Macaca mulatta: one gene and its partner. The protein of the gene in region 1 purifies or fractionates together with the protein of each later gene. This does not show direct contact. Links are inferred from orthologs where the notes say so. Each region holds a gene or a part of one and is shown in the gene's direction. Other genes may lie near its edges.

Evidence for each region.
Region 2: the proteins of UTRN (region 1) and DTNA purify together in Homo sapiens (affinity purification with mass spectrometry; 3 studies listed by BioGRID and IntAct, with this or other methods). This does not show direct contact. The link is inferred for Macaca mulatta from reciprocal best matches to the Homo sapiens genes UTRN and DTNA.

Annotation. Positions count from the first base shown.
Region 1 is NC_133409.1:49,693,337-49,697,158, forward strand, and holds part of UTRN (utrophin), read left to right. Parts: intron 1-370; coding exon 371-521; intron 522-2,002; coding exon 2,003-2,122; intron 2,123-3,822.
Region 2 is NC_133423.1:57,646,788-57,650,609, reverse strand, and holds part of DTNA (dystrobrevin alpha), read left to right. Parts: intron 1-529; coding exon 530-635; intron 636-2,792; coding exon 2,793-2,959; intron 2,960-3,822. UniProt on the Homo sapiens protein: May be involved in the formation and stability of synapses as well as being involved in the clustering of nicotinic acetylcholine receptors.

The DNA of each region.
Region 1 (3,822 bases):
ATTGATCTACTTTTCCATTTTGTAACTTTTATTTTAAAGCTTTCTCATGGTTTATTTTATTTCATGTATTGTATCTTCTGGAGCAAACTTCCACCTATTTAATAAGTAGGAATTCCTGACTGAAGAAATAATGATTCTGATATGAATACAGGGTGCTGTTATTTGCATTCTTTGTCTGCATTTAATGAACTCCATTTAGGAAAAAATAAAAGTTTACTTTCCTGGCTTCTATATTTAAAGACTAAATGCTACCTAGAATGTTTAGACAAGGGTGTTTTCCCTTGCCCTGTATCTCTGGTGCCCAGAATGTGTATTTGACTTTGCAAAGGGAAAAGGCTTGTAGGAATAATGCTGTGCTCCCCACGGGCAGGCTGCACGACGTGCTGATGGAACTACAGAAGAAGCAACTGCAGCAGCTCTCCACCTGGTTAACACTCACAGAGGAGCGCATTCAGAAGATGGAAACTTGCCCCCTGGACGATGATGTACAATCCCTACAAAAGCTGCTAGAAGAACATAAAGTAAATCTGTCTCGTATTTCTTTGATACCTTACCAAATATGAAAGAGCAGCACTTAGCATCTCAGAGGCTGATGATGTCTATCATTAACATGAAGTTGCAACACTTCTTCAGGGTTCTCTTCATTTAGTAGCTCACGGTGGAATTGATGGGGATGAGACTTTTCTGAGCCAGGGATAAAAGGGCAGGGTAAAATTTTATATGTGATGTGCAGTTTTCTTATGAAAGTACATAGCTTTCATACAACTGGAGAAGGGTTCTTTTGACCCTGTAAGTGGTGAAGAACCCTACCATTGCTGGCGTTCACACGGTGTGTGGGTGAAGAGCAAATTCTGAGAGGTGTCTGTACCTAAACCTTTAAGGAGAGCTGTTTCTTTGTCTGTGATCCAGGAAAGCATCAAGCGTTACGGGAGGAACTGATATTAGTTGGGCTTTTAATTTGGTCACAAGCTTAGGAGATAAACTTTTCATAGTTAAGATAAGGAAAGGTAGAATAAAATATGCTCTCTGTAAACTGAAGACTTTTATTGATCAGTGAAACACTGAGGTAACTGATGCGTAAAATTTTAGGAATACATTAAACACACCTCTGAGAAGCTTGTGAGAACACTATTGATAGTGTTTAAATACATTTTCTTTCTTTTCTTTTTTTTCTTTTTTTTTTTTTGAGATGGAGTCTTGCTCTATCACCCAGGCTGGAGTGCAATGGCAAAATCTCAGCTCCCCCCTGGGTTCAAGCGATTCTCCCACCTCAGCCTCCCAAGTAGCTAGGACTATAGGCGTGTGCCACCACGGCTAATTTTTTGTATTTTTAGTAAAGTTGGGGTTTCACCATGTTGGCCAGGCTGGTCTTGAACTCCTGACCTCAAGTGATCCACCTGCCTTGGCTTCCCAAAGTGCTGGGATTACAGATGTGAGCCACCATGCCCAGCCTATAAATTTTCTATACACATGTATCCAATGACTATGCTCTTCCCATGGAAAAGGTGAGAGAATCTAAAGTGTCCATACTTCCTTAGCCGCTTTATTGGGTAGCTAATCAGAGTAACTTTTGACTATCATGTAGCATTCTACTTATCTCTTTATACCGTCCTACACTAGATAAAATGATTTCTGACTTGGTATATTTAAGCTCTGGACTTTTTTGCTTTATCACCTCTACATTTTTGTCTTAATTCTTAGTATGGGCACTCAACTCCTTTATGCTATAAATTCTGAGGGAGGGTCAGAACTTGAATAAAAGTGGTGGTATCTCCATTTGCAGTCTGTTATAACATTGCATCCTCAAACTGCCTTTGTTGATAATGGAATGTAAAGATGTAAGATAGGATTAGTTTCATTAGTAGAACACTTGGGGTACTGACTGGAAATTTAAATACGATGCCTCATAACTGTCCTTAATTACTATTGACAACTGAGTGCATTTTAAATAGGTAAATGTGAAAGAGTAGAAATAATGGTTTATCTTAATTTTTTTCTCTAGAGTTTGCAAAGTGATCTTGAGGCTGAACAGGTGAAAGTAAATTCGCTAACTCACATGGTGGTCATTGTTGATGAAAACAGTGGTGAGAGTGCTACAGCTATCCTAGAAGACCAGTTACAGGTAAGGGCCCTGTAAAGTTGGATAATCCTGAGGGACCTGTGATCTGAGACCCAATTACATATTGCTCTTGTTCTTCATGTACTTTCTCATTCTTTATCCAGAAGGGTAGAAAAACCTACCTTTGGTTGTATTTCCCAGTTGGGATTCTACAGTGTGTGGGCTACAGGAGTACCCAGGTATTGATTCCTTTACTTAAGCTCTTGGGGTGAATGAGTGAGACTTGTTGCAGTCCCCAGCTTCCTTGTGCATAATGACAAGATTTAGAAGCACAGTGTATTAGTCCGTTTTCACACTGCTGATAAAGACACACCTAAGGCTGGGAAGAAAAAGAGGTTTAATAGATTTACAGTTCCATGTGGCTGGGGAGACCTCACAATCATATCGGAAGGGAAGGAGGAGCAAGTCATATTTTACATGGATGGTGGCAGGCAAAGAGAGAGAGCTTGTGTAGGGAAACTCCCTTTTTTAAAACCATCAGATCTCGTGAGACTTATTCACTGTCACAAGAACAGCAAGAAAAAGACCTGCCCCCATGAATCAATTACCTCCCACTGGGTTCCTCCCTTGAAACGTGGGAATTGTGGGAGTTACAATTCAAGATGAGACTCGGATGGGGACACAAGCAAACCATATCATTCTGCCCCTGGTCCCTCCCAAATCTTGCGTCCTCACATTTCACAACCAATCGTGCTTTCCCAACAGCACCCCCAAAGTCTTAACTCATTTCAGCATTAACTCAAAAGTCCACAGTCCAAAGTCTCATCTGAGACAAGGCAAATCCCTTGTGCCTATGAGCCTGCGAAGTCAAAAGCAAGTTAGTTACTTCCTAGATACAATGGGGATACAGGTAAAGAGTAAATAAATCTGTTCCAAATGGGAGAAATTGGCCAAAACAAAAGGGCTACAGTCCCCATTCAAGTATGAAATCCGGTGGGGCAGTCAAATCTTAAAGCTCCATAATGATCTCCTTTGACTTCATGTTTCACATCCAGGTCACACCTATGCAAGATGTAGGTTCCCATGGTCTTGGGCAGCTCTGCCCCTGTGGCTTTGCAGGAAATATCCCCCTCCTGACTGCTTTCATGGGCCAGTGTTAAGTGTCTGCGGCTTTTCCAGGTGCACGGTGCAAGCTATCAGTGGATCTACCAACCTGGGGTCTGGAGGACAGTGGCGCTCTTCTCACAGCTCCACTAGGTGGTGCCCCAGTAGGGACTCTGTTTGGGTCACATTTCCCTTCTGCACTGCCCTGGCAGAGGTTCTCCGTGAGAGCCCCACCCCTGCAGCAAACTTCTGCCTGGACGTCCAGGTGTTTCCATACATCCTCTGAAATCTAGGTGGATGTTCCCAAATCTCAATTCTTGACTTCTGTGTACCTGCAGGCTCAACACCACAAGCCAAAGCTTGTGGCTTGCACCTTCTGAAGCCATGGCCTGAGCTGTGCTTTTGCCCCTTTAGTCATTGCTGGAGCAGCTGGGATGCAGGGCGTCAAGTACCTAGGTACAGGGCATGGGGACCCTGAGCCCAACCCACGAAACCATTTTTCCCTCCTAGGCTTCTGGGCTTGTGATAGGAGGGTCTGATGTGAAGCCCTCTGACATGCCATGGAGATGTTTTCCCCATTGTTTTTGTGATTAACTTTTGCCTCCTTGCTGCTTATGCAAATTTCTGCAGCCAGCTTGAATTTCTCCTTAGAAAATGAG
Region 2 (3,822 bases), on another chromosome or scaffold:
TTAAAAATTTAGATGGTTCTGTCCTAACAGGATTCCCTCCTGCTCCTGTATAATAGAACCATTGACATTAACCACTAAATATTTAGTACTTAAGGAAGTTGAGGAAGCTCGAAAGGGAAGTTGTTCTATAAATTTAGAAGACTGACTGATAGGTAAATTATAAAGTGAGCTATGATGCATTCTTGAGTAAAATTCCATGGAGAATTTCAATTCTTTATTTTTCTTCATTATTTTTATACTGTCTTTCATATATACAAATGATGCTCTCAGAATTGTTTTTCTCCTGGTGCTACTATTGACTCAGCCTCAGTGGAGAGAATTCAGTCCTATGTATGCTTAGGTATAAAAAGCAAGCAATGTTTTCAGTTCTGAACTAGTTTAATATTGGCAAGTTCTGTTTCTTCAGATATTAGAGGTTTATTGAGTGCTCTTTTGTTTCAGTCTCAAATGATATGATATTTACATAGCAGGTAAATTGAGATGATTCTCTGTCCTAAATTTATGGTTTTTTGTTTTTTTTTTAATGCAGAAAAAAGTCACGTTAAATGGTTTTTTGGACACGCTTATGTCAGATCCTCCCCCGCAGTGTCTGGTCTGGTTGCCTCTTCTGCATCGACTAGCGAATGTGGAAAATGGTGAGTAGTTACTACCGAGCAAAGGTGATTTTTTAAATTATTGAAATTAGGCCATTAGTTCTACAGTTAGTAAGCCCAGGTCGTTGTTTTAGGGAAGCCTATTTAGTGCCTCTTAGTTTTGTTTAGGAGAGAACTAACCCATCTCCCTGTTCGGGAAGGCCTTAAAGGACCACTGAAAAATTAGGACTGTCAGTTCTAAAAACTTAGTAAATCTCATGGTGTTCTTCTTAATTACAAGTCAGGTGTGGTTAAAAGACTTGGCACAATAGAAGGCGAACTTCAACAAGGAGTGTGACATTATTTTGTATTTGTTTTAGATCTGAATTTCTCATATTTGCATACATGGCACTGATTATTTCTTCCCAGTTACTCAACCAGAAATAGGTGGGAGAAATGAGAAAAAAAATAGATGATAGCACCCTGTTAATCTTCAGTCATATGTTCCAGATTGTGAGCTTTCAATAGTTGTACTAACGTTAAAGATAAGAGTAAAATAACTTTCGTATCATGTCTTTTTTTAAAGCAAGTATTTCTAGGATAAAAGGAACTGCTGTTGGCATATCCAGATTTAAGTATGAAATACAGTTTGGGGCAAATTTTACAGAAATTTAAACATGGAACTGTTCAGTGCCTCCATCTCATCTTTAGGTGTTCCTACTTACTGTTCAATGTAACTCTGAAATTTCTCCAGACTTGACGAGGAAATAATTTAGTCTATATCTCTTACTAGAGATTTAAGTCTCTATATATTACTCAACTTCTGTGTATTTCTTTAATATACATTGAAACTAAAGTTAGCTTAATTTTAAATTATCATTCAAAATTTTGAGCATCTGCCCTTATTTATCTCAGTTAGTTAAAAGTTATGAATTTATCCTGTTTTTCTAATGGAGAAAATTTAAAGAATGAATTTACTTTTTTTTTTTTGCAATCACTAACAATCATAGCTTTTTTGTTTATCCATATGCAGAAGTGAAGAGCAATCAAGGTCCATGTTAGTATGCAAAATGAGTTCATGTTACTGTTTACAGTTCTAGAACTAGTCATTTTCCAATCATAAAGCTATAATTTCATTCCTTCTCTCTCAGCATTTCCTGCTGCAGGAGATCAGTTTCTCAGGCACTGTCCCAGAACAGTTGTCCCTAGATTCAAGTCCCACTCTAGTCTTTCTCAAGAGCCAGAAAGGAAGGTTATGACACTTGTTTAGAAGACAGTGCTTCCAGAGCTAGTTATGTCTTTGTTTTTACACTTTGCTTTTTATCTTCATTTATTATTATTTGTAGTGTTTTTCCTGACTGGTTAGGCCAGAGAATAGCTTTACCAAAGGCAAGAATTGTTATTGTCGTTTTAGTATCTAGCTCATAGCATGTAGATAATTACTTGGATTTGATCACTTAAATCTAATATTTTACTTTGCTTCAAATCTAGTATTTTGCTTTGCCTGCTTTATAATTCAAATTTCCTATCAAAGAAAGTTAACTGTCTCTTGAGGTATCTGAATTATTTAGAACTGTTTTCAGATAACTTACACATCTTTTTTAGGGCCCTATACTCCTGCCTCAGGAAAGAAAAAAAAAAAAATCTCTTTGTCAGATATAGGCAACACCAGTCGTTAAGTAAGCCATTAGTCACTCTATTTTTTAAAAAGTAACTTAATTCTCACATCCACATCCAGTTTTCCACTCTCTGCCCGTCTTGCTTTCTTTTTTCTTCCTCTCATTCTCCATGTCTCTGATATTTGCTCTCTTCCCACTGGACAATCGGCATTCACCCCTTGTGTTTCTGAGTCTTCCAGTGAGCTGTGCTGGTCTCCTGGAGACAGAGGGCAGTTTGGGGTAAAGGCAAGTCTGTTTGGGCAATTTAAATTCTTGTTAGGTGAGAGATGGGAATAGAAAGAGCAAATGGCATTACAGAGATTGTTGTTGTTAAAAGGACATCTCTTCTCCATCCCATTTCATTTCATTTCCCCACAGGCATGATTGAAAAGGGTTGTGGGAGAATCCAGGAATGAACTAAATGTTTTTCTGAGCCCAAATCAACTATCATCTGAAATCGTGGTGCAGAGAAGAAAGGTACAATTCCTGTAAGGCTGTATTTTTCCTTCTTCTGGTTCATACTTTTGTTTTCTTGTTTTTTCTTCACTTACTTCCCCCTTAGTCTTCCATCCGGTGGAGTGTTCCTACTGCCACAGTGAGAGTATGATGGGATTTCGCTACCGATGCCAACAGTGTCACAATTACCAGCTCTGTCAGGACTGCTTCTGGAGGGGACATGCCGGTGGTTCTCATAGCAACCAGCACCAAATGAAAGAGTACACGTCATGGGTAAGGCAAGGTCCAGGCAATACTTGGAGTTGGATGTGTGAGTGTTGCCCAGAATTAAAGGGAATATCAAGGATGGTGGCAGAATTAAAGGGCAAACTTACCTTCTATCCCAGGTCTAGTATTCAGTCCCCCTTCCTCCCACCCTCCACCCCACTGGGTGCTCTTACTTATTCTGTTGGAACCCAGTGTAGCTTCCTGAGACTTAAAATATAGGAAGACTCAAAACTATGTTACTTCTTGGAATATAGATAATTCAGTACCGATTTAAATAACAACTGAACAGCAAGGACCTTCTGGAACATAGTCTTACATTCACAGTAAGTTAAAATCTTTTCCAAGTTTTGTTTTGTGGAAACGGCTGAAAAATTATTGTTAGTTTTATTTTTCTTAGATTCTGGAGTTCTTGTAAGTGCATGACTAGAATATTAAAGAAACAAGTATGAGAGAGGAGAGTGTGGACTTAATAATACTGTTCCATTTTACTTTTCTGCAGAGGGTGGGGAGGGGAGATTGTGGTTATATTAGCAAACCATCTTTTCATGAAGAGTCTGAGTGACCAACCTGGCAAAGGTGGCATGTGAGTGTCTGTGTGATAGATGTCTTCTCAGGAGCATGTGGCACCAGGTCTGTGGGAGGAAATGTGACTCTGTGAGCTCATTGTTCAAGTGGATTATGATTTACGGACGTTTATCTTAGTTAAACTCAAAGATCAGTTCCAGCAGTGTTGCCCTTGTGCATCTCTTCAAGGATGGGTTTTTGTAGGGTGTGTAGATTGGATCTTGTGGGATATACCTTCAGCCCTTCCAGCACCTCTTGGAAAAGTTCTGTCACAAGAAAATCCAACCTATTTATGAGTTTTGCTA